Oreochromis niloticus: one gene and its partner. The protein of the gene in region 2 interacts with the protein of the main gene of each other region in a biochemical or structural test. Links are inferred from orthologs where the notes say so. Each region holds a gene or a part of one and is shown on either strand. Other genes may lie near its edges. The genes, in order: ranbp3b and rcc1.

Region 1 (16,015 bases), on a different chromosome or scaffold from region 2:
GTGTCTGGATCAACAATGAGTTTACATCTAGATGGGTTTGTGATATTTTTTTGAGCCTCATGACGATATCTGATGATATCTGCCAGTTTTTCTTATTTCAGTAACAAATCTAAAGTAGTTGTGAAGATATGATGCAATTTTGCTCCATCTAAAATAGTAGAAACCTTTTCCAAATATTTTGTATGTGTGGACCAAGTAACACCTAATGCAAAAACATTTCATGCAAATCCAGCAACAGCTTTTGTATTATACTGCAAATAAACAGAAAAACTGAACCAACTACAAAAGCTACTTGCCAGATTTTTGTGGTCAGGTATATTAAAAAAACCATAGTATAAATAACACAAAAATTTTTAAACATCTACCTGAACTTGGTGCCTGTCCATGTATGAGAGTCGGTGGTTTTAAACGGAACCCCACAGGCTTCTCCTCTAGTGGAACAAACCATAAAAAGAAGCAAAAGTTAAAAAAAAAACATATTCAGGTATTGCACAACAACCTAATGTGAGCATGCTCTTCTGTCTTTGCAAATTTTGTAACCACAGAGCCAGTTACCACAGCAACCCTCGTACGGCCTTAAGAGTTGTGTTGGAATCTCGGTAACATGGCGGGCTCTAGGGCCTTTGATCTATTTCTACCTCCGTCTCTTCATCTCAGTGGCTTTATTGGGATGCCATTAAGTAATCAGCACTAGAACAGAAACCCAAAAGCACATGCGAAAAGCCACATCCTGTTTGTCCTCAGCGTTTAGGAGACCATTCCAGTGTGCATAAATGTTAAGCCTAGTAAATCAGGCAATTTTAAACCAACTAGTGTGTGAAGCTTAGATTGCACATATGCTAAAGAAAAACATATTCAATCTAATTATAAGAAGTATTTGCATAATTAAATATAAATGAACATGAATATCTTTCAACACTTTTACTAACCACCAACTCTCAGGACATGCACGCAAACAATGAAGAAAACAACCACAGAAGCAATAGAAGCACTATAAACATTTTAAATGCAACTAAAATAACCAAACTTCCAGCACATAGTGTAGTTCTGCATCTCTATTAACAACATTTTTTGGTCTGTTCATCACTCTTTTTACTTTCAAATACACACATTATGTAACATGCTTCAGGCAGTTATTAACTACAGCCTGTTTGTTTGCTCAAGTGGAAGTAGTCTCCGTAAATCTGTTGACTAGTGATTTAAACCTCTATGTCACTTTTCAATTGAGCTCAACCCATTAAAGCAAAAAAATAAATAAATAAATAAATGATTGGGTCACGTTTATCTTTGACAAGAGATGGGATTAAAAGAAAAATCCATAAAAATCATACTTCCTTATTCTCCCTTAAAGTGCTTCTGCAATAATAATTTCATATCTCTATTAACTAGTCAGTATTTTTCATAATGATATTTTCCCCCATTTCGACTCGTCTTACCAGTGTAATATGACCTTGATGAAAGTGATTCAACAAATTAAAGTATGAACGGCTACTCAGCAAATGACTGATTAAGCTGAGCTGCACACATTAAACAAAATCATTTAAATTTAACATCTAAAGTGATACAACAAATTTACTAGTCAGACTTCCTATAAATATTATGCTTTGGAGTAACTGGCAGGAAAAGCAGACACAGACAAGTGCTGCTAAGTGCAAAGCAAAGTTACCACAAGATAATTATTTACAAGCTTCGTGTTAGAGATATGCTACTGATAAACAATGTTGTTAATCCAGCTTCGCCCCAACTTCCTCTCCTCACAGTTACTGTTTAATTTCTTATTTAAAAAATATGCATATGTTTTTGTTCCCATTAGCCTAATGTTATGTCAACTACTACTTTTTTAGCCTTGTAGATTTCCTGTGCAAATGAACAACAGATACATTAACTGCAAGGGGCATAAACAACATTAAAAAAAAAGAACAAATTTTAGTTTGACAGAAACACACCTCTAACCCTGGCCAGGAGCTTGCACAAGCAAGGTCATGAAGCGCAAACCTTTAAAGTTTAAAACCCAACTTACCCTAACCCTACCCTACCAGCTTATTTAGAATTTCAGGTTATATTTTATAAATTTGCAAAGAAAGAAATACTTCAGTTACAAAGAAGGCTCTAATGTGGGAACAGCTATTATATCCAAGACATACTGTATTCATAGAAAGACACCATAGACACCTAAGACAGCGCTAAATAAACTAGCTTTTAATACCTAATAAGCTAGTCCTCTGTAGCAGTGGCACTAGGAAAATTGCTGTCAGCTATCACCACATGACACTAGGAAATCATAAAACACAAACCCTATGGATTTACTAATGTCAACCTCAACTCTGCCTTTTTCAAATTCAAGCATCATAAATTTGTTTTCCAGTTGAATCTGGCAGTTCAGAGCTATATTATATGGAGGCAGGATCACAAGCGACTCAAGGCCATATTGTTCTTTTCTTATAAGAAAAACGAATTCTCTGTATTACTGAAGGTTTTGAGAGGGCGGAGAATTACAAGATACAGAAAAAGACTTCTCCCTGCTTGGTATACTGAACGGTCTTTGTGCAACACATGACACAAACTGACAGATCTTTGGAGCAGTGAGAGCCAAATGAGAAATGAGCAAGGAGAACTGAAATCTCAAAACAGACTAAATACAAAGACTTAAATTTAAACCAAACAAAAACAAGATGCAGAAATGTTTTGAATAATACAAAAAGTTGCAAAGTAAATACTAATCCTACATTTATAAAAATTAGCTTTCAGTTTATGTTTATGCAGTAAAGACTCTGAAAGGACAGCAGTCAAAACCTAATGGACAAAATCAGAGTGAAATAGCTAAATTAGAGTCAACTAGAACTGGTGAGAGTTAAGAGTTTGTGGCACTTTTAGAATTACCAAAATGATCTGTGACTTAAAATCTTTAAGTCACCAAAAGCTACTATTTACCAGTTTTAGTGAGCATCTTGTGCCAACTGCCTTAAATTGTCGATGTGTTTGGTTTTTAATACTGAGATTTTTACCACAGGGGCCCTTTAAGCTGTGAAAGGAAAACTAATAGTGGTCTAGATTGCTCACCTGGCTCGGAGTCAGAGTTCCCAGTCGGAGACTGGCAGAAACTTGAGGGCATGAATACATTGTTCTTAGGAACTGCAAAGTAACAGACAGACACTGCAATCAGCATACAAATCAATGTGTACACCACAGGCAAAAAGCAACATTAACTAAACGCTCTGCTTTGCTTAGTCATCACGTGCCCTTACCAGAATGTGGGGGTGGGAATGATGAGGTCCTTTCCCTTTTCACAGGGGGAGTATAGCTTCCCTCATCTTTATCTGAATCTGAAAGAAGTGAAATGATAATGACTGTATGTCAGTTTAAACACAAAGATAACATGGACAAACAAAGTGGCCAATTTGGATACTTCATTTACCTTCTCCATCCTCTGCACTTGAGCCCTCAGCAGATCTCTGCAAGGAAGTGCAAAAAGTTTGGGGGTTTTATTTATACCAAAGGAGCACCATTACTCATATAAATCCTAGGTAGCTTTCTTAAATTCATGAAACTTTGACTTAATTAAATTAGAAACAAACTAGCAAGGAAGATGTGCGTTGATTTTGCAGGAAATTCTGCTAACAGTGAAAAATTTTAATCCAAGAACTTTTCTGGGATGTGTGCTTTTCAGAAACTCAGCTTGACTAAATGTTGGCATAAATAACATCGGCAAACTCAAAAAGGCAATTTTAGCCCTTATAAATAAAGAAAAAACAAAACAAAACAGAAACTTACCTTCTGTGGTTTATCTTTATGGAAAACAAACACAGGGGGCGCTATGGCAGGCTTGTCTGTTAAGAAAAGATGTAGGCTAGTCATCTAAACACTAACTTATGGTGTGCAGCAGTACTGTCTGTCTGATTCTTCACATGACTGTGGCTCAAAAGACCCTATGCTGTGGCTTACGTCTTCTGTGTACCTGAACATTTTAAGTGTATTTGGACATCTTCAATTTTATAGACTGTACTGCTGATTAAAAATAAAAAGTCTAACTTTTCAAAAATTGCTATGGTAAAGATTCCAGTGAGTTAAACAACTGTTCACAACTAATTTAAATGTAAGAAACTTAAAAAGATGACCTGCAAAAATGCAGCTTATCAACAATCTGATTTCTATCTGTGTCAACCAGCCAGGCGAAATCATGTCATCAAACCGAGTACACTAAACTTAACCATACAATCCTATTAGAAGTTCCTGGAACAATTAAATCACATTAAGTTTAACTAAAGTGAACAATCCACAATAAACTAAATAACGTGATCAAATGTAAGATATGCAAATACGCGTATTGCAGAATAGACAAACTAGACAGAGACTGTGTAATTTTAAATAAATAAATAACTAAATGAGAAATTATGAAGCCTTCCACCGGTATTTTCTTGCCTCCATAATCTATGATCATAACATAACAAGAATAGCTAAAGCCAGGCTAGGCGATAACTTGATGTCAGCTCAAGCCACTTAACGACTCTATGTTCACACTGTACCCTGGTGTAAGATGTGTAATCCTATAACGTTAGCAGACAAAGGTTTTCCTCTGTCTGGGTCAGGCCTGTACACTGAACAGGTGTAGCATCGCTGTAGCTGCGCAAAACATGCATGCATGCGATATCAGCCAAAAAGCCGGCAGCACATAGCCACGATTGTTTCCTGAAGCGACAATCACCGCTTTGACACACGCTCCGCATGGCTTATGCTGATCGTTTGTGTGAAACTAAAGAAAATGTTGTGTGACCTACATTTTACCCCCACCTTTGTATCTGCTGTCTGTCTCACAATCAGCTAACTTGTCCAATGAATATAGGATTTCCGGCATGCAACACTTCTATTCACCTCTGAGATACAAGTAGCCCCAATGCGTTCCTTGCTTATGATAACCAGTTAGCATATATACCCATCTGACCCTTTTCAGTAAATAGTCGGCGCCACTGCTTGTTCCTTAAAGCCGAGGGAGGTTTAGCTCGATGGCTATAGTTAGCCTGCTAATGCGCTCCAACCAGCATGAGTCATCTCGCCTGACAAACAATGTCACTACAGTTCTCAGTTTATCCTCCCATATTAAAAGCCCAACATGATGACAAGCTGATTTTAATGGAATAAGAAAACGCGCAGACAAGCAGAGGCTAAACCGAAGCATTGTCTGACTGGCTGACATTTTTCCTCTACGCGCCTAAATGAACGTTAAGCAAAGCTACAACGTAACGCTAACAACATGAAATAAACACGGACACTGTTTCCAATCACTGTTGTTCTTACACTTTAGCTTCGTTACAAGCTGTGCTTTTCAACTTTAGCTTAGCCAAGTTTGGTGTTTATAACCACCTTAGATCGTTTAGCTCACCACAAATGGCAACAAATACACACACGCCGACTATAAATAGCCGGGTGCTAGCGTTAGGAGGTAAACCGGCTAACTGACAGGCAGAACTGGAGGGCGTTCCGAGACATTCCAGGTATTACCCACAGCCCAGCGTTAGCATTGTTAGCCTGTTTGCTAACGCTGTAACCTTATATACGCCGCGACGTTATTAATCCGCCTGAAGTCGCCATTTACGTGTGCCACAGTTGCTTTATTTCAGCTATCCAATATGCAAACAGTGAACAGACACGCTTTACATGGCCACAGTAGCTGTATTGTTTTTCTCATTCTGCCACTTACTCACCTTCGTTTGCCAAGTCCGCCATTTTACTTCGACGCTCACACACCCACAACCCACCGCGCAGATAACACAAGTCAAGGCAGCAATGTGCTCACAGACACCCGTTTGCAAATGCAGCCAGCGACCCCTGCCCTCGCCACCACTCTTTTAGTAAACCAAAAATCTAGTATATGTCCATGCTTATCGATGTGTTTATGTCCTTATTTATAATTCAGCTAGCCCAAAGGAAGAGCTTGAAGTTTGCCTGGGTCGCCTAACCCACTATTACAGCTTTCCCAGGCCCCTGTGTACCAACACAGACTTTAAGGTATTATTAACTACGATAAAGCTGTACATAAACACCAGATGATGACATGAATGGCTCAGGTTTGTTAACCTAGAAAACAGTGGTTTAGCGGAAAAACAAAAATACAGTCTCCGAGCACGTCACAAAGGCATCACCACAGCCAGTGTTAGTGGTGAGTTTATAAGCGGCGTCTTTCTTGAAACGTTTGCGTACTTGTTTATTTGTCTTTCACATTTCAGCTGCAGTTCTTCCTTTTTCTAGGTGGTGGTTATTTAACCAGATTCCCAGTAAAGTAAAGGTAAACAACCAAGGCGTCGTTCATATTTCCTGTTTCCAAATGATGCCTGTCCTGTAATCACAGTGCTTACATTTATACACATGGTTTATGCAAGGTCACCTCATAGTAAAAAGCCCTGTTGTTTTGAATCTATTGCCCTTTTTTTTCTCCTGGGGTTTACGCATTGGTGTTGTTTGTAAAGGCCACATTTACAGTGCCGTGTACAAACATGACAACACCACTGACTTTACTGCAGTGCAAATTGGCTTTGATAGACACACATACACACACATGCACGCAAAAACGGCATTCTTTAAGATAGCATAAGTTTAAGATAAGACTCTTTTATTAGTCCCACAGCAATGAAATTTCAAGTGCTAGAGCAGTACAGAGATAACGCCATAAACGTCACGCCTAAGTACAAAAAAAATCGTGAGTGGTAAAGAATAACTCAAATGAGCAATACCAAGATGACAAACAAATAGATAAATAACATTTAAGCAATCTCTGTGCTGATGTAGCACTTGGAATTTACCAGGCCTGTAACCAAAACACTGTGTGATAATGGCTCACATTATTTACATGAAGTGCATTATTATAGGAGTGATTAGGCCATGATTAAATCCTTTCCTAAGGATGAATTTGAATTCTGCCCATTTTCTCAGTTTTTTTCAGCTGTCAGAAGATTTTCACAGCTTTGTGTTTTGCACAGAAATGCGCAATAACGTTAAATGTCTTTTTCCAGTGTCCTGTCAGTGCAGTTCCACTTTGCTTCCACTAGAGGGCAAACTGTTACTGCAGCTGAGCAAATCTGTTACAGGTAAGCAGTGTCCACATTTTTTCCTGATGGCTTCGGGACAAGCTTTGAAACTACAGACAACTTTACAACACCAACTACAAAATTTTACAACACCAACTACAAAAGCAATTTTTATTTTTTCGTAAAAACCAATAAATAAATATATAAATATTCTCCAAGGCATGAGGTAAACACAAAGCATAAACTGCACAAGTGCATGAAGTATCAACTCTGCAGTGACAGTATAAATGAAATTATTGACTTGTGGGGCTTTGCTTTTTGCGTTTTGTACTTTTTGCAAATTCTTTGTGGAATTTTGGCGTGCATATAGTAAGCAAGCATTCACACAGATATCCAAATGTGTAAACTACATATGTTTATTCTGGATACAGTATCATGAAAAATATGGGCGGAAGGTATTTCCTTTGTTTCCTGAAGGAGTTTCAAAACAATAAAACCACAGCGGTTGAAAACGAAAAGATTTGTGCTATATATAACAAGAAAGAACGAAAGCAGGTTCTGAGCTTATTTGTGCATCTTATTTGCCTTGGCCGGCTCGATAAAACCTAAAGCCCCACCTGGATTTATCAAGTATAATTATAGGGGTTGTCAATATTCTCTGTTAAGCCGGGTTTTCTGCTTCAAGTTGTATGCGTGGTCACATATAATGGGACATTTCACAGGTCGTGACTCCTCTATGCTAAATGATCCCTGTGAATGACGCCTATTCCAATCAGAGACATTATCAGAGGATCATGAAGATAAATGGTGGTTAAGTGATTAAGGTGTGGCTACACATTAGACACTTTAGAGCTGTGGTTTGTGGGCCAGTCAATTGGAAATTAATTTCACTGACTGAAGCGGTATTGTTGGTGTGTGTTCTGTGTTCTATTAGCTGCAATTCAAGCAGTGTGAAAGAGACTTAGCTGTAGATTAGACTCAAGTATGCAACCTTCAGTTTGCACTTTATTGTGTGGTTTTCTTGCACATATAAAATGTATTCCAGCAGAAAATCTATATACTGCATGCTGTAAATAAAAGAATCATTCAAATTATGGTGCTTCCATCAGATTTTAAATTAACACTGGGAAACATAACCTGCACCTGACCAGGTGATGTGTTCGGCATAAGTTACCATGGTAATTTATCGCAAGCACTTCTGTGACATAGAAACTCCAACTTTAAGCCCAACATAGCTTAGTAGGCCATTAATCTCACTTTCTAGTACACCCTTCAGGCCGTAGTCTTTGTGGTGTTGAGTTTGGCAGTTTGGAAAGTGCCTGGAGTGAAATGTAAAGCATCGAAATGTTTTCTTTTCTCTTTTTTCTTTGCATGTTTGACAGACAACTGTGTTAAAATTTCTTTAAAAAAGTGTAACGCTGAGAATATACATGTGCACATTTAGTTTGGCTACAAGTGTTGATGTGGTTGTAGTGGCTCAAGAATCACTCTTAGAGCTTAAACATTCAGAAAATATCATAAAATACACATAACACAGTGCATGCTCAGACAGTGAGGGCAAAGCTGTGACACTATGTTTTTTATGGTTAGAATGTTTAATTAAATTGAAAATATTTGAAAGTCTTTCTAATAATAAAATGTTAATAATTTTAGCCTTCTTTTAAAAGGCCTTTGTTAGCAGCTATATGTTCATCAGCTTTCAAGAGCCGTTTGTAACTTGAGCCAACTTGAAATTGCGTTTCCCATAGCACTTGTTGAACTTCACGGACGATCTTTTATCGTAATACAACATTCTTCCTGAAGATAACAGGGTAATCATCCTGTTACGATTAGAAATGTTGTAATCTGGGAATATTGGTATTAAGTGATTCATTATTTGGTGATAATGGTAAGTACCCCTGCTTTTCATCTTCTAATAAATGGTCTTTCCCTGCATATCAGGCAGAGCCGCCTGCTTAGTTATGAACTAGATTAAGAAATGTAAGTTAGGCATAAAACAATAGTTAAATACAACACAGACATGAATACAAACCAGATCTTTGCCTTCTTTGCTCAAATGTGGTTAAGGAACACTGAAAAGAGGACATTTCATAAGAGTTTGCCTGAGTTGACCAAAAGTTTTCAGAAATAATCATGCTTGAGATTTCCCCTCAGGCTCCCCTCAAACAAGCCACTGCATGTGTTTATACTGTTCGCTGCTGAGGGCTGTCATCCATCAGACGAGCTTGGCTTCTGCTTTGGGTCATATCAGTTTCTCTTTTGTACTTATCCACTGGTGTAGCGAATGTCCACTGTGCATCACTGTGTTTGCGTCTACGGGCAACAAACACCCCTCACTCAAAAGTTGGGATCCACTCCCCCGCATACGAATAGCAAACTGGCACTTTAGCGTTCACCGAACTCTAATTCATTCGATGGGGTTTCTATCATAACGAGTCAAAACCCGTCATGGCAGATCTTGTATCATTATCAGGAGGGTAAAAAGTAGTCTTTCAGTCAGAATCCATGCGTGGTGCAAAACCTGACTTTCTGCCTTCCTGATATGTGTAATACCTGTGTAATGATAACATCTACTTTGAAGTAGTCCAAGATTTACAATACTTTTTACATAACAGGCTTCTCATTTTCCAGAGTTTTGTAACTAATACCTAAAGATGAAACTCTGGGGGAGTCCCCTACAAAAACAGGGGGTAATTATGGTTATGTAACTTTCTTCCACAAAATCCAAAACCATGTTATTTGTTCAGTTGTCATTTGGAGGGCAGAGCTGATTGCGTAATACACTAGAATAAAATAAAACTGCTAGGGGAAAATAAAAAACTCCCAAAATACTCAAAGTAGCCACATTATATGGACAAAAGTATTGAGCCACATGTCTTAGTCTTTGAATTCAGCTGTTTTCCGTCCCATTGGCACATGCATATAAAAGCGCCCAGCCATGCAGCCTGGCTTTACAAACATTTGTAAAAGAATGAGTCATTCTAAACAGCTCAACCATAGTAATGCTGCAGGATTCCCTCCAAGATACTTGACAATTGATTGTCAGTGGTATTATTGCAAAGTGGAAATGTTTAGCAACCACAGCACCGTAAAGTTACAGAGTGAGCTTGATGAGTGATGAGGCGTATATTGCTTAGAAGTTTCAAAGCTCCTCTGGCGTTAACATCAGCACAAATCCAGTGCACTGGGAGCTTCATCCTATGGTTTTCCATGGTCCATGGCCTACAGCTGTAATGTGCCATAGTCTTTGGTCCATAAAGTTTAGTAGTGTTGTCTTTCATTTCAACTCGAATCCCGCAAAAAATGTGCATATTTGGTAATTTGTTTTGGGTTTTCTAGTGTTCCAAATGTGTTTGAAGTGTTCTCCAAGTGTTCTCATTTTCTCCCTGAGACTGAAATACGTTTTTTCCAGACTCTGACAGACAACTCTAAGTGCCTGCAGGTGTAAAATTACTCATCTATCATTAGAGTCAGCTCTGTGATTGACTGGTGACCTGTGTCTTGCCTCTCAGTCTCACAGTCATAGCTCAAACAGAATCCAAGCCCCCGCAACCCTCACTGAAGTACATCGCTGATATATGGATGGAATAAATTACAGGTCTGGGACAGGACAGGAGCTCCGGTCTCCCGGACAAAAAGCCAATATGCATCCACCTAATCTTACTATCCACGTTACTACATAACATGCACACATAGATCTGTCTGCCACTGTGGTTTTTGTCAGTTCTGCCATCATAACCAGGTTTTATTTTGATACTGCAATAAATGTTCTGTGAAATGGGCCATTAAGGTTCCCAGAACTTCTGGGAAAGTGTTGCATCTCTAGAGGTGGCTTTTTGTATGTTTATATATGTTTATGAATATATAAAATCTCATTATTGCACTTGCAACTGGCTACTAAAGGTCTGATGTCCTAACCTAACATCAGAAGACAATAAAAAAGACTTGTTATTGCAGAGGCCAGTAAGATCATAGTAAACCTACGCCTGTTTGTTGTATTCATTTCCTGATTTCTATGTTGATTTAATGTTGACATGAAAAGCAAAAAGGCCGAATCATAGTGACGTTGGCGGCACAAATCAATGCCCCTGAGATTAAAGAACCTTTTGATCATGTTGACCCGGTGATTTTTCCTTCCAGAAAACAGTTTAAAATTTAAACGTCAAATGAATTTTGAAAGCATTTAATGTTTGCTCCTCACGGGCATGCTTCCAAAAGAAAGGAAGGGCGGGCGGAAGGAAGGAAGGAAAGAAAGAACGGATTTGCAACTCCTTGACCTTTGCTTCAAAATAAAGCAATAATAATAAAACTGAAAAAGAAATAGTAGAAGCTAACTTGTTTTGGATAGCTTTCCCATGTGTTTGCTTTCATTTTTCCTTTTTTTGGTACACTGCAGTTTACAAATGGATCGTTGCAAGAGAAGTAAATATTAAATCAGTATCATTATTCGGTCTGCAGCGAGTAAAAAGCCCTGTCCTCATCTATACTGCTGCTTCTTCTTCTTCGTTTTTTTTTGTACTGTGTGCCAAAGTAAAGTTTCTCAAACAATAATAAATGTGTTCTTGGAGATGTTAAATGACAGCGATAATGAAGGGATAAAACAACATATCACATTATCTGACGGGAATGCTGAAGACAGCACTGTGCATCTTTGCACAGACAGAGTCCAAGTACCTTTGGCAGCAGACCATCATCTTCTGACAAATACTCAATACCATTAATCCATCAGGATTTTTCAAATATGCAGTCACATACAGGAATAGAGCTCGGCACAGCCAACAACCTTTTTTTTTCTTAGAAGTTACTCATTGGTTTGCCAATGAATGTTCAGTTGAATTGTACTGTGATCAAACCCGCACATCTAACATGAAATATTCACTGCAAGACCAGAATTGCCCCTCCAAAAAAAAAGAGACAATTTAATCAGAGCAATCTGAACGTATGTAAACTTCTTTAGAGCCTGGGTGGCATCAAATGCAGATTCTCTCTTTACGACACATGCAGGTTGCATGTGGGAGCAGTAAATAACTGAAGTGAGCACAAGTATCCTGCAGGCACAAAAGAAAAAGAAAGGGACAGGTCAGTGGCACGCTTCACAACGAAGAGTGCTATCAGATGTCCACTTAGCCGCTTGAGGCTCATTAGTACCTGTCACAGGGCGTTCAAAAAGAATCCTTTTAAATGTGCCGCAGGAGCCTCTTGTCAGGAATTAACATGGGTGGATATGCATAGATGGATTCTGACAAGTATCTTTAATGCAAAGTTTATCATCTGTCAGAACTTAATACGACTGTAGGGAAGATGCATGTACATCCCGATGTACTCTTGAAGCTCAAGTTTCCCACATTAAAGTCAGGTTTTCTGAGAATACTGAAGAATGTAAACAAGCTTTTAATGTTGCGCTAACATGTATTCACTACACCGCACATATCAGACTAATATTGGTTCTGAAGTCAATATCTGAGCCTAAAAGGCAATTATTATTATCATGTAAGGTTGGGCAACATTAATGTTATATAAACCTGCACTCATGACTTTAAAATACAAAGACTTGTTGTCTTTTTTTATGTCCCCTTTTTGGTAGGGTAGGTTCCAAGGGTCAAAATGTAGTTCTCATATTTCCGTCAGGCCTTGTGAACTATGCTGATATAAAGCCTTTATGGTCCGATAAAACTTTGCATAACACCTGCAGGGAATTTCCACACATTTAAGAGTAAATGAACAACAACAAACCTTTCATCTTTATTCTGTGATAGACATCAAAATGTTTCTTTTGTTATAGAAAAAAACACCATACATTTACTGTGTGCTCTTAAAATATAGGTGGAGGTGTGAAGATTTATGTTATCAGATGAAAAGATTACAGAGTCTGAGAGTGATTCAGTCAAATGAGGCTTTAAGATGAATTTATCAAGAGATCTAAAGGAAAATCTTATGTTGGTATGTAGTAAATATGCTGTTAGCGTGTCAGAAAGATCTTATCAAATTACACAATTGTCAGTTTCCAAAAAAAGAAAAGACTCAAGAGATAGGAATGGTTTTCTGTTTTGGAATTTTAATATTCAACTAAATCCTTATTTTGTTGTTTAAAGGGTAATTTATTTTGGCATAAACAGAAATGTCTTATTAGTCAGATATTTGACTATTATTGCTGCAGCAGCCACTGCTCTGATTTTGCAGTTTGATACAATCAGCAATTATGCAAGAGCGGCTAGAAAAAGATCGGTCATAGTCTGCTCCTGCTCAGTGGAGAGTAGGTACTTTGTTTATTTAACCTCATTACTTAATTATACCTATTTAATTTTCTCTTGCATGTGGTGGCCAACTTGTAGATTTTGTTCTTTTCTTTTGATGGCAATAGTGGATTTTTAAAAACATCTAGAAATAGGGTTTTATCAATAAATTAAATGTAAAATATGATATATATGGTATACTATAAGCAGTGCTGTGTGTATATTGAGAAACGTCAGTTTTGCTTGTATGATCGTGTTTTTATACTAATGTGTGTGAATTTGTGCTGTCTGTATGTTTTATAATATATAATAACCATATTTATTAGGGTTATAATTGATAATCATTTTAATATCTACCAAACTTGAGGGTGATGGTAAAAAGAAAGTATCATGCAATTCTAAAGTTTTATGTATCAGTTCATGATTTAAAAAAAACCCCCTCAGATGAACTACAACACAACATGTTACACTGTGCCATTATTTATTTAACAGAAACAAAATCAAAATAAGTCAGAATGAGTGTGTGGAAAAACTAAGTAGAACCCATCATTCATTACCTTGGGCAGCAATGGATTGAAGTAACTGTTTTCTGTAAGATTCATCGATCTCTCATGGTTGTAGGGGAATTTTGGTTGCTTCAGTTCATTGAGGTTTGCAGGGATTCATCTATGCACAGCTCTCTCAATTTCCCACCACCATTACATTTCAAACAATTTGAGGTCTGGACTTTGACCGGGCCGTTGCAACACCTTGATTTATTTCTTTTTCAGTGATTCTACTGTAGATTTGCTGTTGTGCTTAGGATCATCCTGTCGCATGACCAACCTTTGACCGTGCCAGATGACCTCACACTGATTATAGAATACTTTGGTATAAAGATGAGTTCATGGTCAACTCAGTCACTGCAAGATGTTGGAGATCCTGTGACAAGCTCCAACCTCTGCCACCGTGCGTGACAGTTGGAATGAGATGTTTGCGCTGTGTCTGGTTTTCTCCAAATGTGATGCTGTGCTTTATAGCCACACATTTCAACTTTTTGTTATCTGTGTAATTGTTCCAGATGTTTTATTTTTTGCTTAGGTGTAACTTTGCCAACCTAAGCTGTTCTTTTAAGAGAGAATATACTTTCTCACGGCAACCCTTCCAAACAAGCCGTACTAGGTCAGTCTTTTTCTAATTTTACTGTCATGAATTTTTAGTTAGCAGGTTGGGTCCATGTATTCATGTTGTCGAGACCAAATTTCAACCTCACCACCTGTATGTCTCAGCAACAGTCAAGATTCACAGTTTAGATGTTACCACTGTTACAATGTTCCAATATTAGTATTGGAACCCAAACCCAGGGATCATTGTTGTAGATATTCACCTAAAGGTTACCACAACAGTTCCAATGTTCAAGTCTGTTATTCTGTTAATGTCATTAAATACTGTTAAGTACAAGGATTTAACCAGCAGAACTTTTTGGACAAGAATTGAGAACAAGTTACGCAAGTAAGAGTGCACTTAACACCTTCATTCAGCAGCCATTCAACAGTATTTCTCAATATGTAACTGTCAGTGTGAGGGGATCATAAAACCTTTAGAGTACAGTACGCCACACTCCAATTACAAAGCCTCGAGGAACATAGGAGTAAATTGTATAGTTAGATATGTATATTTCAGATAAATAGAGCATAATGTAGACACTAAACATTTGTTTACCTCCCCCTTCACACGCCGGCAGTCTGTTTGAATGCAAGTGAGGCAGGTGTGGCACTGACTGACAGCCACGTGAAAGAAATGAAACGAAACTAAGTGAAATGAATAGGATCTTTTAAAGAGAATAAGCACAAACGTTTGCATTTATTGTGTTAACATTTATTTAAGCATGCTCTAACTTGGATTTTTTTTTATTGTTAATGACTGATTGACTGAAAAATTATATGATCTAATGCGTGAACTTTTTTAAAGGCACCAAAGTAGGGCATGTCAAAAGCATGAGAAATAAACTGGGATCCACCAAGGAAAAGTTACTGGAAACTAACTGCTGTCTGTTTGATCAGTATTAAGGGATATGTCACTCTTTGTTTCACCTTTTATCTTTATATTGGCCCAATCTTTCATAAGCAAAACCAGTCTTTTTACAGTGTGCTTTGCACCTGATCAGCTTGACCCCTCACAGACACGTGCCTTTGCACGAAAATGCAAAAAGTCAAGTTTCTATCATTGCAAGTTCATTCAAGTGTTTTTACATTTTTTTAAAAAAAAAAATCAGCAAAACATAAAATTGCAATGCCAATCAAGAAACTTGAGGCTGACGCCTTAAAGGCATTCATCAAACAGGAGTTTAAAAAAAAGTCTTGGTACAAAGGTTATGGAAATATGATCCTGCCCCTGAGTGTCTTTATAAGAGTGCTGTGCCTGCACAGGTTGATAGACACAACGCTAGAGCTTCAGTCTACACCTGGAGAACAGGCGGTGAGTAATCATATTGGTTTTTACAAACAGACATTGCGCTTGGTTTTCACATGGATGCTTTACTAATTGTAGGTTTATTTATTATCATTTAATTTTATTAGTATAGTAACATTATTACTGCATCTGATTAGTTTCAGTAAGTTTTGCAGTATTTGTAAGAGTACTTAAATGAAAGCAATGATCTAATAACGCATTTTGCTATAAGATCATTTAAATAGATAGTAGAATAGATTCAAATAGAAACAGATTTGATGTTTATTTGTTTTGAATCTTGCTTCCTAAACACATCTGGGCATTGGATGCATA
Region 2 (15,836 bases):
CTGGTTTTGGGATGGATAAAGCAGGATAACGTTAAGCTTCTCGAATGGCCTTTCCAAAGACCCGACCTCAGTCAGGAAACTCTATGGACTACACTTAAAAGTCGGATGCGTGACTCTGTGTGGATAAGAGAAAACCCAAACTAATTTCAAGTTTGTGCACCAAATTCTTTTTAAAAAGATTTTTGCTGTACAATCGTTCCACCCTGGAAAAAGAAAAGTTGAAACGGTTCAAAGAAATCATTAAAAGCCCAGAATTACTATGGAATTCATGCCCACGATGAGTTAATGTAAACTTCTGACCACAACCGTAACTATGAAATCAACAACTTACGCAGCACCAGAAAGTAGCTGCATTCATTAAACATGCCAGCTGAAGGCCTCCATCTCGTCCCTGTTAGTCTCCGCCCTGCAGGGGGGAGAAAACGCTCAGCTTCCTCTCTACTGGTCCTGCTGGAAGCGAGAGTGCGACTATGATGTCTACCTGTCCCTGCCTGTCTACCTGTGCCGGCGGGCCGGAGGCCTGCGCTCAGGTAAAAGGATGCCCTCCTGGTATTTCTTTGGCTGCGGTGCCAATTTCTGGAATGCCCTCTTCAGAGTCTGCACACTTCATCATGTCGCATCCTTTCCTGCTGCCAACATATGTCTTCTGAAAAGCCTTTAACTTGTTCACTGGCCTTCATTGCTTTTCTTTGGACCTGGTATATAAGAGCCGCATGCATATAACAAGCTGATAATGAGTGTGCTTACTGTACACAACTTCTGTGTGAGTGCAGTTGAGTGTATTTTGCCTCTGTATAAGGGAGGGCCTTTAGCGGGTTCCAGCTGTGTTCTGCTATGCATCAAATGAATTTTATGTCTCTAATCCACTCAGCTCTCACTCAAATGGGATGGATGGGTGGACTTGAATGGGTCGAAGAATAAAAAGGCAAAATGGTTCTAACATAAGGGCTCGACTTAATATAGAGAGGAAGTCCATTACTGTGTAGATTACTGCATGTTGTAAGTCTGTCAGCACTGTTCACTTATTATGTCTTACGTAGCACGGCTCTGCTTTAACAGAAATGTTGCCTTAAAGCTGTCCTCTGAAGTCTTAAGAGCCAAATAGCAAATATGCAAAAGTGCATGCAAAACTCGAAGGTTTGCATTTGAGCTTTTTGTTTAGGAGCTTCAGGAGCTTTACTACGCTAATAGATAAAGTGTCGGTGTGGGGTTAGAGTCTGGCTGTGAAGAGCATGGATGCATCTTTTTTGTCTCTGTGAACTGGAGCAGTCGCTGCACACTGGTCTTTTAGAGCAAAGTGTGCGTTCATGGCCATCATGTGAACCAACTTGCTGTATGGATGCAGTAATGCTCAGTCAGACATGTAATCCCAGCATTCGTGTGTCTTCTGTCATACTGGGTATGTAATACATGTGTGACTGATGCTTGTGCACTTGCGTCACAGTGACAAACTAGATTCAAAAGTAAAGCACTTGCTAGCAAGTCACTCTCACGCCTAAGCTGTAGCTCTTTTTCTGTAGCAGTTATGGTTGGATTAGCTCTTTTTCCATTTGCAGGTGACTTCACCCAAGCAACAGGGGGCGCTAGCCTTGTCCCGGCCAAACCCTCTCCTCCAATGCCTCCTAAGAGGACCACCCCAGTCACCAAACGCAACACAGAGGACTCTGCTTCAAGCCATCCCATCATCCCCTCACCACTTTCTCTGGAGGAACACAGCAGCCTCCCTGTGGGCTTCCAGCTGCCTCCCCCTCCTCCGTCCCCACCCCTGCCGACTCACATACCACCTTCTCCACCCCGCCAACACATACAGACCCACCACCTCCACCATCAGCACTCCTACCCCCATCCGCTGCCCCAACCCATACCAATGCTTTTCGACCCACCGAGCCCGACCAATGAGTCTCCCCAGCGCCCGGCTCCCGTACCGCTGCACATCATGATCCAGCGAGCCCTGTCCAGTCCCGGCCCGGCTCAGCCACATCCAGATGGGTCGCAGCGGGCGCACACACTGCTTTTCGAAACACCTCTAGAGTACCAAGGAGACCGTGGTCGCCCCCTGCCTGTCAGCATTCAACCACTAAAACTGTAAGTTTCTCTGCACAGAAAAGTCAATTAGTGAATCGGTGTATACAAAGACAGTCTTACATGGTGAAGAAATATGGAGTTTGCATGTGATCTGTCTTTGCATGTAGCTTTGAGGATCTTTTTCATCCATTTTCTAAGCTGTTTACTCTTTGTACTTACCTGTGTATCCATTTCAAGCTGAAAAACAGTCCAGTCTTCATCATTGTAAAGTCAGATATAGCTGGAGGGACATATTTCAGTTAAACTTATTTAAAACACGTCTTCAAAATTAGCCAAATAAAAACAAAAAAATATTTTATATGCATGCATTTTTTTCCTGTTAGATCTGAGGATGACTACTCAGAGGAAGAAGAAGAGGAAGAAGATGACGAGGAAGAGGAGGAGTATGATGGGGAGATTCCACAGCCAGAGCTGGAGCCAAGGAGTCGCCGGTGCTTGGTCGGTGACGCTGGCATTTGTGTCATCCCACGGGGAAACAGCAATGACGAGGACGAGGAAGAAGAGGAGGATGAGGATGAGGAAGGCGAACACGACATGCACGGGGAGGACAGTGATTCAGATGGTCCTGTGCCTCATAAAGATGAAGACTCAGATGAAGATGAGGAGGATGAGCCCCCGATGAGTAAGCATAACAAACTGATTTGGAGGTCATTTAGTGGCTTTTCCGGACTCTTTGTAAACCTGTGCAGCGTTTTGGTGCTCCTTCTCAGCTTACTGCATCTCTCCGCTTGGCTTTTATCCAGGCGCACTGGCCAGCAGGGTGAAGAGAAAGGACACCCTGGCTCTGAAGCTGAGCAGCCGTCCCTCTGCTCCCGACAGGGACAGGTTTACGCAGGAGAGGAGCAGCCGAGATGACCAGCCTCCAGGACAGACTGGCCTCACCTGGCAGAGCAGAGAGCAGTGGGAAGCCATTCGCACACAAATTGGCACTGCACTCACGAGGTAAAGATGAGCAGAATCATTGTATTGTTTAAAATGACAGCAGTGAAAGTGCATTTCCTGAAGAAATTAGACCAATTTTTAATAGATCCTTGACCTGCTTATTACCTGAATGTCCAAGTGAAGTAAATGTGTAAAAATAGGACTCCATTTTTCTTTTTTCTTTTCTTTTTTTTATTTCAGGCGACTAAGCCAGAGACCCACTGCTGAGGAACTTGAGCAAAGAAACATCCTCCAGCGTTAGTATTAACTCTCTCTGTCTTTGTTCATGATCCTTGACTTGTTTGGACTCTTTTGTTTCTGGGTTTTAGCAAAACCACTCCTCATTCTTTCGTCTGATGCTTTTGCCTCAGCATTTGTTAACAAAGTACATTTCACATCTGTTAACAACAAGCACATATCTAATTTTAGAAATTGCTTTTAAACCTGCCATCAAACCAAGCCTTTTATGCCAAAGTCTAAATTTGGCTCTTCTATTCTTTCTCCCATCTTTGTTCTTCCCTCAGCTAAAAATCAGGCTGACAGACAAGCCGAAGTTCGAGAGATCAAGCGACGGCTGACCAGAAAGGTGAAGCAGCACACCTGCAAACATCCCAGTGTTAAACCATTTATTTACCTGATATTAAACTGACATAAAAAAAACCTCTTTATTGTAGCTGAGTCAAAGACCCACGGTTGCAGAACTACAGGCAAGAAAAATCTTGCGATTCCACGAGTATGTGGAAGTCACAGATGCCCAGGACTACGATAGAAGAGCAGACAAGCCGTGGACTAAGCTGACACCTGCTGACAAGGTAATCAGCTCCATATAAAGGCTTTATCGGCACAACCGCTTTCTGATACAGCACTTTACAAAATGTCCAAGACAGTGTTACAAACATTTTAAATGTTAAACACATGCAACTCCTTTAGGTTCATGTAATTTTTTAGCAGTATATTGTCTCGTTTTCTTTCTGAGTTCATGTTTAACCGAATTGCTGTTTTGTCTAGGCGGCCATCCGGAAGGAGCTCAATGATTATAAGAGCACTGAAATGGAGGTTCATGAAGAGAGCAGAATTTACACAAGGTATACCTTTTAGTTGAAACTTGACTGGCTGATTGATTGACTTGGTCAAAACAGTGAGGTACTGTGTTTTGCTGATTTGTTTTTCTACACCACTCTTCATGTTGGTGGGGTATGGAGTCTATCTCAGCTGTCATAGGCCGAGAAACTGGGTACACTCTGGACAGCTCATGAGTCCATCGCAGAGCTAAAGGAGAGACAGATGAACCACTCACACTCACTTTCACATCTACGGCCAATTTAGAATCACCCATTGAGCTCACATGCATGACCTCCCAAAACCTGGGACTGTGGGAGGAAGACGGGTACCTGGAGCACAGGGAAGCCATGCAAACGTCACACAGTTTTGTTTTTGTTGTTATTTATTTCTCCTGTTTGTGTCAGGGAAACAATGAAATATGTAATACACACTTGAGAGTGATGCATCTTTGAACACTTTCTGCCATTTGCAGCCAACCTTGGCGCTCATCCTGAAGACATCTCCCCCCAGCAGCAGGTTTTAGCTAAAGGAGTTTGTTAGCTTGCTACTGTGTCAAGTGTTTATTTCATACTCCCTCAATCATTAAGGACTTACTGTTTAACAGTCTTCAGGATGTCACTTATTTTAGTCTGTAGACGTCGGCTGCCTTGGCTACACATGCACTGTGTGTCTTGTGTTTGCTTTACACTTAAAGCCATCTTTGTTGCTTGCACCTAAACACTTTAAATATGAATTAGCAGCAGTGGTGATTTGCTACTACATTAATAGACTTGTGACAAGTAAACAGAGAGATCCATGTAGAAACTGATTGATTGGTCAGCTTTCTTATGCATGCCTGGTTAAATGGCAGAATCCAGCACTAACAATGAAACCTTGGCAGAAGAAGACTTTTAGAGAAAAATCTGTACCTTAAATAGCGATATAATGAATTTCCCTGCATTAATAGCTTAAGGATTACGAAGGTGTGATCTTGCCTCATGAGAGCTGTTTGTTTTCTTTAGGTTCCATCGGCCTTAACATCCCTGCTTCCGGATAAAGAAGCACTTAAGATCTCCGGCAAAGAAGCAGCTGCTCCCTATGCAGACAGATCGCCCTTTTGCGTCTCTTGAATGTACTGTTATCAGGGAAAGCCTGGAACCGACTCCACACGAGAATGCTTCATGCTTGTCCTCCATCGCCCTCTCACTACATTGCTTTCACTGAACCGAGGTGTTGGTGGGTGGAGACCAGATGCAGTATTTCTCCCAGACGGCAAGGGGGAACCACGTGCCAATAAAGTGGAGAAGTGGCAAAGGACCTACAGGGCTTACTCTCACTCTGCTGTTGTGTGGTGCCCCTCAGGGACTCGGATATAGTTACAACCTTTAATGCGGCCTCGTCCTGTGTTGCCTTTTTCTTTTTCTTCTTTACTGTATATGGAAAAGCTAACTCATCTTCGCTAATGTAATAACGTAGAATAAAAATGGTAACAATAATGATGACCTATAACACTTCACACAGTAATAATAGACACAAACGGTCAGGAGTTGGCTGAAGACTGGGATATTCTGTTTTAGAGCTGGACATCTCTGGGATATCGTGTGTTTTTTATCCACTCTACAGACTGCTGCTGTGATACGTTAGAGTGAAACTGGAAGAGATCTCATTGCAAAATATTGTGTGATGCACAAAATATTTTCTATTACAATTTTGATCACAAGGGTAGTGAGAGCTTTTCTTTGAGCCTTCTTTTTTATTATTATTATTATTATTATTTGGCTTGCCTGTGTTTGTGGTTGTGATGTGTCGGCCTTTTAATAGCTATAGGAAAAGGTCAGGAGGCTGTTGGTGTTTTAATGCGTGCCAACACACCCAATACTGGTTTTCATATCACTGATTTCTGCAATCCACTGCATGAGCCATTACAAAATCCAGTGCCACCGCGTCTGGATAATCTCTCTTCATTTATACTTTTTTCTTTTGTAAGTTTTTGTACTTCCCTTTAAAGATTGAACATGCAATACATTCTGTAGCCATTTTAAATAAGGTCGTTACGATAGTGTCTAAACTAAGAGTTAAATGTAAGTTGCTTCAAGTGTAGATCAGGGATTTATCACAAAAAAGAGAAAAAAAAACACCTGAAAATGTATAATCGGTCAACAGGAACTCAGTTTGGCTGGAACTTTTTGAAACTGCAGAAATGTTTTACCTTGTCTTGTTGTCTGGCCAGTAGCTTACAGGGTTCTCAGTGCTGTGTGTATAAGTTGATATAGGTTTATCTGATGCTTCTGTATATCTTGTCTTCCTTTGATTTGAAAAGAAATTTTAAATATAAAAGTATTATAGGTTGCTATTTTTTTAAGCAGAACATGAGTTTATGATTAAATGCTACAAGAATGGGAATATGAAAGTGCACCTTTCTGTAAATCTGAGTTCATTTTTAATTGAATGTGGAGCTGTATGAGCTGACAGTCTTCTTTTTAATTGTAAATAGTCTGGATCTAATTAAAAATCTTACAATTCCTGGAACCTTCTTGTGAAACAACTCTGCAACTGAGGTCCAGTAGACCTCTCTTACCTAATGACTGTGTTCAGGTGGAGTCTTTTGTCTAAGCTGGAACGTCTAAAGAAAAAGTGGGTTTGCAGCAACACCTGGTGGCGGTTTAAGTTTTTGCACTGTCTTTTGATTTTAAAAAATTAGCTGGTTTAAGGCCCTTTAGTGTAAATTAGAATATATTTTAGGTAATAGGTTATATGTTAGATTATTGGAAAAGGTGACACCATAGGGTGGGGGTGTCATCATTTCCTAATGATAAAATCTCCCATATGGGAGTAATTAAGCCATAGATAATAATCAATAATCAAAAGCTCCTGCTTTTTCATATGGACTATAGAAATTTATTTTTACAATGGGCCCACAGTAAAAATAAGTCAATAATTATAATAGTGAAAAAATAATCTTCTGTGAATTACCAACATCTTTCAATTGTGTAATTACTGAAAAGTCTGGACAGTGAGCTGCAAGAACCTTTTCTGTAATTTTAATTGTTTATTTATTTGTGCTAATAGATTTCTTTCATTTACTACAGCAGTATGTCTTCATCGTGTACAAAAAACCGAGAGGTATAGTTGAAATTGCACTTTTTCATATTAAATGTGTAGCTAAAGGTCTTCACACTGAGAAAATTGAGAGTTTTGCTAGTTTGGCCCACTTAAGTTCAAAGTGAGCTGTATGTGGCTCACTGTGTAAAGTGAGTTTGACATCCTTGCTTTAGGGTGAGGAAGTGGCTATGTTGTAGCATCAGCTAAAGAAAGAAAGAAAAGACTGAAGGTAAAATATGTTCACAGATCTTTAAGGTCTGGGTTGGACAAAAGGAAATCTAGTTACAAAATATACAGATAAGGGACAACCTAAAAAAAGGTTTGTAGGTTACTGATAAATTCTTATCTCTTAATGTCAATTAGAGACATAAAAGCGATACAAGATGGATAAAGGTGAAAATCAAAAGATGCCCACCTCCCCTGTCTTAATATCAGCTGGTCAGCGTTTTTTTTACATTACATACAGCTTCCGTAATTAGTGAATTGTACAAGATAACAGAACTATTAAATATATAAGGTAAAGGTTTTATATTACACATTCAACTTTAGATGAAAATACCACTACTTTTACATTGTTGTAGGGGTTGGTTTTTTTTGTTTTTTGTTTTTTTTGTTAACAATAACTCTGTTACACTGCCCTATTACAGCTATTGACGTGTACCTTTACTTAAATTCTGCACTTTTTGAAGTACTTGAGGTACTGAGGGTGAGATGGAGCCAGATGATCTGCTGTGGCGACCCCTAAAGGAAACAGCCAAAACAAGAAGAAGGAGGAGTAGAAAATACTCTCATATCTTTGGTTATAATAAAAACTGAGTGTTTCACCAGACGTTATTACTTTTACATATATAACTGATCTGTAGCCAGTTTCATTCACCACAGTTACCTGTTCCAGTGCTGTTACTCGGTTCTGAGAAAGGTGATAGGAGTACTTTCTCCAGCACCAAGTATTACTTCATTTACGCAGATAAATGGCTTCGCCTGATGCCCTTTATACTAGATAGATAGATATACATATATACACTTATACACGTGAACCTCTGTCTGTGTCCATCAGCTCCATCCTCCTGTGTTACTGTCTCTTTAAGGAGGCGGGCGTTCCAAAGGTCCTACAGAACGTAACGTTGCACGTCTCGAGACCGGGAACCAGGCTGTGCACGTTCACTTCAAACTGCACTCTTCAATATTTCACAGGTCAGTAAATTATCACCTCCTACACTTTACAGATGGATTAAACAAGTATCGAGAAATACTGCTCCGCTGAATCGCACGCAGTTACATTGTTAAATTATGTTTCTCGGTTTCATTCATTCAATGTCACGCTAACACCCCAGCTAGCATTGGCTAGCATTGGCTAGCAAACAGTTAGCCGGCGTTAGGTTAGGCTGAAAAGCTTTACTTTCAGTGCCGGCCAACTAACTTTGGTTAAGCTGTAACAGCTTATATTTTCTTTCTTGCTTTCTCGCTGCGTTCGTTGCTCGTTGTGACACAAATATTTACAGTCAATCTTTACACCATATACAACTCGTTCAACAGCCAAGTTAACTGAATGTTAGCAAGGGCACATGGGCACTGCCAGCGTTAGATCACGCAGCTTAATTTAAACTGTCCAGCCCTGTAAAGGAGCTGATGGCACTATCCAAGTACTTCCTTATGAAATCCCAGCGTCTGTCGTACGATCTATAGTGGGGACTAAAAGCTGAAACTGACTCTCATTTCAAACTGTACCACGTGTCCTTATTTTGTGGGCAGTGGTCTCTTGTCAGCATGAGAAGCAGGAGTGAAGGAAGCACAGCTGTTTGTGGGGTGAAAGAACCATTGAAATTGGGCTCCGACAGCTGTTGAACCCTAAGAACTGGTGGGCAGACTTATAACAACAATAAAGGCTTTTTGTGTATTATGTCGGTTTGCTGGCTAGTCTGTAGTGCTGTCTAAGAGCCACTGTGGTCTGGACTCTGGTTTGGGGGTGATTGTCGTCTATAAACGCTTTTGTATTTAGAGAGATCATACTAGTGTAGCCTGGTTTTCTCCAGGTTACACTAGTGTTTTGTTATTGTGGTCCACGTTGCTTTTCTGTCTGCAATTAAAATACTCATCATGAGTATCAGTAAGTAATATATATAGAGAGAGATGTATACTTTACTCATCCCCAGGGTAGACATGCAAATAACTTGTAGGTTAAATGTCAGCTGTTCATGTACTTAATTATCTGCCTTGTGTTGTAAATTTGAGACATTTGTGGTATCTAATAACTATCCTGTTTAGCTTTTTTGTTTCTTAATTTTGTGTGGTGTAAGAATTCTAGCATAGTTTAAATTACTTTGTTGTATTGTTTAACTCACATTATCCAGTTAGTTAAGAAACGCACCCAATTTACACACAACCTTATGTTTTCTTAAAGTCCAAAAGTGTTGCTATCATGCCTGCCAAAAAGACGACCACCAAGAGAAAGTCCGCCGCTATTGTGGAAGATGATAAAGACTCCAAAAAGGTGAAAGGTAAGTCACTTCCTTTTTCAAAACAGGGGTTTATAGAGGGGTAACCAGATTCAGTTTGAACAACTGATAGTCCAGCTAAAAAGTGGCATTGCATTTAAACATCTACACCACTTCTATTTGAGTTTGCTGAAGTAATATATTTCTGTTAAGCAAGTATTATGCACATATGTGAAACGAAGGCTTTGGCTCCAAGTGTATCACACTACATTGTCAGTGTTTTTATCCCCCCCCCAATCATTTTCTTGTATTTTCCATCAAACCAATAAAATTCAATGGTCACTATGAAATTGGTTGTATATGTGTTTCAGTTTCACACAGAAGTCATTCCAAAGAGGCAGGGCAAGTTCTTGTTTTGGGCCAAGGTGATGTTGGACAGTTGGGTTTAGGCGAAGATGTCATTGAAAGGAAGAAGCCAGCACTTCTGTCCCTGCCAGAGAAAATTGTGCAGGTGACAGCTGGAGGCATGCACACCGTGTGCCTCAGCGAAACTGGAAATGTAAGCAAACATTTTTCTTATTTCTCACTTTAAAAAAATGTAATGGCAACCTCTTTGTAGTGTTTAACAAAGAGCTTCTTAGTTCCTCATGTAAACTGTTTTCTTTGTTTAGATTTACACGTTTGGCTGTAATGACGAAGGGGCTCTTGGTCGGGACACATCAGAGGAGGGGTCTGAGATGATCCCGGGAAAGGTGACGCTGAATGAGAAGGTGGTCCAGGTATCGGCAGGGGACAGCCACACAGCCGCACTCACAGAGGATGGATCGGTGTACATCTGGGGCTCCTTCAGGGTTAGTGAACTGCTAGTTAGGGAGCAATCTGGTCCTGAGTGCTGTCTCAGCAACTATTTTTATCACCCTTCCATTACTTTCTATGTAATTGTTTTTGTTCTTTGTTACATTTACTATGTCTACAAAAGTTTCAAATCATTTTGCCTTCAACACTATATTATTATCCAAAACCTAAATGTTGTTCCTAAACATTTATTAATGCTGTAAAACAAATTTATAAAAACTATTTTAGTATATTGTAGTATGTATGCAGTGGAATCAGAAAGCATTTAAATTTGATTAATAAAATCATAATCTTCTTGTAATTCTACACAATGTAGGGAAAAGACTTTGAAATTGCAACTGCTTACTTAATGTTTTGACTGTCTAAAATAATGTCTACATATTACCCTCTTTTCTTAGGATAATAATGGAGTCATTGGTCTTCTGGAGCCGATGAAAACGTGTGCTCTACCTGTTAAAGTCCCTTTAACAGAACACGTTGTTAAAATAGTTTCAGGTAAAAAAGAAAAAGTTTTTGTTTAGTGCTTTATGTTACTGTGTGCGCACTATAAATGAGTTCCTAACAGGGATATTTGTGTAACTGATTTCTTTACTAGGTAACGATCACATGGTAATGGTGACGCTGGAAGGAAATCTATACACGTCCGGCTCAGCTGAGCAGGGGCAGCTGGGAAGAGTGCCTGAACACTTTTCAAACAGAGGAGGCAGGAAAGGCCTTGGTAAGTAGCACACACCTTTTCTGTTTTTGGTGGATAAAAAACTGTAGATTTATGTTAATATCTGATTACATAAACATTTCTTTTTTATAGTGTCTTTAATGTAGTATACATCACTCCTGTTTATTTTTATGATCTCAGAGCGGCTGCTGGTTCCACAGATGGTAAAAGTGAAAGGGAAAGTTCACTTCGTTGACGCCTTCTGTGGAGCGTACTTCACCTTTGCTGTGTCAAAAGAAGGCCATGTGTATGGATTTGGCCTCTCAAACTATCACCAGCTGGGTCAGTGTGACTCGTCACTCCTGCGTTATCCTTTGTAAACTCAACTGCCATGTGCTATTTGTGACTGCGACAGATATCATGAAGTGACTGTATCATTTCAAATTATTCTTTTTAGGCACCAAAAGCACCAAGATGTGTTTTGTCCCTGTAAAGCTTACATGTTTCAAGAACTCAACCACCGCCTGGGTAGACTTCTCTGGAGGACAGCATCACACACTTTGCCTTGATGCTGAAGGTAAGCTGACTGTGTGTAATCGCAGGCAGATGTTACACATCATCCTTTAGCACTCGAGTCAGCTGGAAGGTTGGACTCTTGTCTTCCAGGGCAGGTATATAGCCTGGGCAGAGCAGAGTATGGTCGTCTTGGTCTGGGAGAAGGGGCTGAAGAGAAGAGCGAGCCCACACCTGTGATGGGGATAGAGCTGGCTAAAGGAGTGGCATGTGGGGCGTCTGTCAGCTATGCAGTTACCAGAGAAGGTGAGAACCAAGGTAATCAGGGGACGGGAAGAGTAAAACAATTGAGACTGTTTGCAGCCTTTTTTTGTTATTATTTTCTTCTGAAGCATTGAAGTGCAATGAGACACCATACTTTGCCTTAAATCTATCTAGCTTTAAATTTGTCCTACAAACACATGGCCCCTCATTTCCTGTTTGTTTAGACATTGCTGCTGGTGACAGTGAGATAGCAGCAAGTTTAATCCAACTTTAGGCATGAGGAGAAAGTAATGTTGAGTTTATTAGCAGGAGATGACAGTTAATCTTGTTTTGTTGGGATGCTCGAAGCTAGTACAATACGTTAACTACCAACTTACTCTACCAGTCACATCTGCGCACACCTTCTCATTTAATGGTTTTCCTTTATTTTCATGACTACTTATATTGTAGATTCTCACTGAAGGCATGAAAATTGTGAATGAACACACATGGAATTATGTAGTAAACAAAAAAGTTTGAAATAACTCAAAACATGTTTTATATTTGAGATTCTTCAAAATAGCCGCCCTTTGCTTTGATTACTGCTTTGGACACTCTTGGCATTCTCTCGATGAGCTTCATGAGGTAGTCACCTTGAACATTCTCCTTCAACAGTATTGAAGGAGTTCCCAGAGATGCAGAGCAATTGTTGGCTCTTTTGCCTTCACTCTGTGGTCCATTTCATCCCAAACCATCATGATTGGGTTTAGATCATGTGACTGTGGAGGCCAGGCCATGTGGCGCAGCACTCCATCACTCTCCTTCTTGGTCAAATAACGTGGAGATGTATTTTCGGTCATTGTCCTGTTGAGAAATAATTTAGGTCCAACTAATGGCAAACTGGATGGGATGGCATGTCGCTGCAGGATGCTGTGGTAGCCATGCTGGTTCAGTTTTGAATAAATCCCCAACAGTGTCAACAGCAAAGCACCATCACACCATCGTTGGGAACCATGCATGTAGAGACCATACGTTCACCTTTTCTGCATCACACAAAGACATGTGGGTGGAAGCAAAGATCTCAAATTTGGACTCATTAGACCCAAAGCACAGATTTCCACTGGTCTAATGTCCATTCCTTGTGTTGTTGTTTTTCCTTAGTCGTGGTTTCTTAGCAGCTATTTGACCATAAAGGCCTGATTCGTCTCCTCTGAACAGTTGATGTAGAGACGCGTCTGCTACTGGAACTCTGTGTGGCATTTATCTGGGCTCTAATCTGAGATGCTGTTAACTTACGGTTTCTGAGGCTGGTGACTCGGATGAATTTATCCTCAGCAGCAGAGGTGACTCTTGGTCTTCCCTTCCTGGGGTGGTTCTCATATGAGCCAGTTTTGTCATAGTTCTTGATGGTTTTTGCGACTGGACTGGGGGACACATTCAGAGTTTTTGCAATTTTCCGGACTGACTGACCTTTAGTTTTTAAAGTAATGATGGACTGTTGTTTGTCTTTATTTAGCTGATTGGTTCTTGCCATAACATGAATTCTAACAGTTGCCAAATAGGGCTGTCAGCTGTGTACCAACCTGACTCCTGCACAACACAACTGATGGTCCCAGCCCCATTAAGAAAGCAAGACATTTCAGAAATGAACCCTAACAAGGCATAACTGTGAAGTAAAAACCATTTCAGGTGACTACATCATGAAGCTCACTGAGAGAAGGCCAAGAGTTTGCAGCACTGTTAACAAAGCAAAAAGTGGCTACTTCAAAGAATCTGAAATATAAAACATATTTAGAATTATTTATAAATTTTTTTCTTTGCAAAATAATTCTATATATCTTGCCTCATATATTTGATGTCTTCAGTTTGTATCTATAATGTAAAAAGTAGTACAAATAAAGAAAAACATTCAATAATGTGTCCAAACTTATTCTTTAATGGTTAGACAGTTTTTAGATATGGAAAAAAAAGTCTTCAGTAAATGTGTGACTGACTGTCTGACACAAAATTGTGAAGCAGGATTCTTATCAGAGCCATCACTCACAGTGCAACAACTACTAAACTTTCACTCCTGGGTTTTCATACAGTCGACACCCTTAGAGAATAAAAGATTGCTCGCTCTCCTTACTGTTACTTTTTCCTACTCCAGGATCTGTGTATGCCTGGGGCATGGGCACCAACCTGCAGCTTGGCACTGGAGAGGAAGATGATGAGTGGAGTCCTGTGAAGATGACAGGCAAACAGCTGGAGAACCGTGCAGTACTGATGGCCTCCAGTGGAGGGCAGCACACCGTCCTTTTGGTCAAAGACAAGCAGGAGAGCTGATGTCCTGCACTGACAGAGAGTGAAGGGGGCGCTTCAAGGTGGGGCCATGTTCAGGGTGCCTAAATCAGGGGAAGGGGGTGGATGTATGTGACTTCCTATGCTGAGCCAAGGGAGTGTGAGACGTGCATGATAGAGGGGAGAGGTGAGGTTTGTCCTCTTTTATGGAAGCTCCTCTGCTCTTGGCATTGGGGAATGTGTTGTGATGTTTTTGGTAGATCATGACAAATGAAAGACTATTTTTTTTAAAGCTAGTTTTTGACAGTCCTTTAAAGTCTTTTCATCTGGTCATTTGTATGACTCTAAGATGTTATATGTGATGTTTCTGAATTTGACTGTGCATGTACATAAAGGAAATGGCAGTGCAGGATGTTTAAGGACATAAAAATAGTCTTTTTAATGTTTTCTTTAAAGCAATAAGTAGATTAGACCTTTGTCAGACAGGACCTGTACGCCTGGTGAGTTTAACATGTGCGACTACTGTTCGTTATACCCAGTGCACACAAATTTGTTGTAACTGTTTGGACATTTGGTAACACATCATACTGTATCCTGTATTTTGTTGCATTTCCTGTCTGAAAAATAAAGCTGATTTCTTTTTTAAGGAAAATACAAGCCACATTTACTTCATTTCATTTACTGTGTATTAATAAGATGCTGATTACAGCTTTTTGATAGTAAACCCTTGCTGCTTTTCTTTAACTGTAAAAAGAACATTTCTCTGTGTGCGTGTGTGTGTTTGTGCTACTTTTTGCTGCAGAAAAGGCAAATAGAGGCCCACTCACTGAGCTGTTTATTGTTGAATACTCATGCAACACAATGCTGGAAACATTGCTAAGAGATTTTAGTCCATGTTGACATGACGGCATCACACAGTTACTGCAGATTTGTAAATTGTACAGTCATGATGGGAATCTGCCTTTCCAACGCATCCCAAAGTTGCTTTACTGGATTGAGATCTGGTGACTGTGGAGGCCATTCAAGTACAGTGAACTCAAGCAGCCTTCAGCAGATGGATACGCTGTGGTCATAAAAGCATGAGCAGCAAAAATAGTCAGGTAGCCTGTGGGGTTTAAAGCATGTTCATTTGGTATCAAGGGACTGATATATAGTATAAAACGTTCCCCACACCATTACAACACCACCAGCAGCAGCCTGAATTGATGATGCAAGGCAGGATGGATCTATGCTTTCATGTCGTTATGAGTTACTGTTGCCTTTCTATCACCTTGAAGCGGTCTGGCCTTTCTCCTCTGACTTCATCAAGGTATTTTTTCCCAGAGAACTGCCGCTCATAGGATAGGTTTTTTGTGTGTTTGTTTGTTTTTCAGACCCTTCTCTGTAAAACTTATTTGTGTGAGAAGTCACTTAAATCACTTTTCTCCCTCATTCTAGTGTTTGGTTTCAAATTGAGGTCATCTTCCCCTTGTTGCTGCCAAGTAATTGGCTGATTAGATATTTGCATTAAGGAGACGTTGGACACGTTTAGCTAATAAAGTCCCAGTGGGTGAACAAAGCCTTTAAAATACAAAAGCATTGCACAGTTCTGCAGTGGTTTTTCTGATAAGTAACCCCCTCAATATCACTAATGTTTCCTTACTTCGTTAATCCATTGTTATAATGTAAGACCTGAAACATTTATTCTGTGTGTCATGTTATTTCTA

The links.
Region 1: the proteins of rcc1 (region 2) and ranbp3b form a complex in vitro, tested with the Homo sapiens proteins (2 studies listed by BioGRID). The link is inferred for Oreochromis niloticus from reciprocal best matches to the Homo sapiens genes RCC1 and RANBP3.

What each region holds. Positions count from the first base shown.
Region 1 is NC_031982.2:23,309,303-23,325,317, reverse strand, and holds the start of ranbp3b (ran-binding protein 3b), read right to left. Parts: upstream 5,849-16,015; 5' UTR 5,722-5,848; coding exon 5,700-5,721; intron 3,828-5,699; coding exon 3,772-3,827; intron 3,453-3,771; coding exon 3,416-3,452; intron 3,324-3,415; coding exon 3,246-3,323; intron 3,133-3,245; coding exon 3,061-3,132; intron 432-3,060; coding exon 366-431; intron 1-365. UniProt on the Homo sapiens protein: Acts as a cofactor for XPO1/CRM1-mediated nuclear export, perhaps as export complex scaffolding protein. Bound to XPO1/CRM1, stabilizes the XPO1/CRM1-cargo interaction. In the absence of Ran-bound GTP prevents binding of XPO1/CRM1 to the nuclear pore complex.
Region 2 is NC_031976.2:7,335,807-7,351,642, forward strand, and holds rcc1 (regulator of chromosome condensation), read left to right. Parts: upstream 1-8,205; 5' UTR 8,206-8,343; intron 8,344-9,550; 5' UTR 9,551-9,568; coding exon 9,569-9,647; intron 9,648-9,955; coding exon 9,956-10,143; intron 10,144-10,255; coding exon 10,256-10,435; intron 10,436-10,837; coding exon 10,838-10,934; intron 10,935-11,034; coding exon 11,035-11,157; intron 11,158-11,295; coding exon 11,296-11,436; intron 11,437-11,551; coding exon 11,552-11,671; intron 11,672-11,760; coding exon 11,761-11,925; intron 11,926-13,999; coding exon 14,000-14,175; 3' UTR 14,176-14,793; downstream 14,794-15,836. Other genes in the region: phactr4b (phosphatase and actin regulator 4B), read left to right, coding at 399-530, 1,557-2,085, 2,409-2,707, 2,829-3,027, 3,208-3,263, 3,531-3,592, 3,681-3,818, 4,015-4,091 and 1 more. UniProt on the Homo sapiens protein: Guanine-nucleotide releasing factor that promotes the exchange of Ran-bound GDP by GTP, and thereby plays an important role in RAN-mediated functions in nuclear import and mitosis.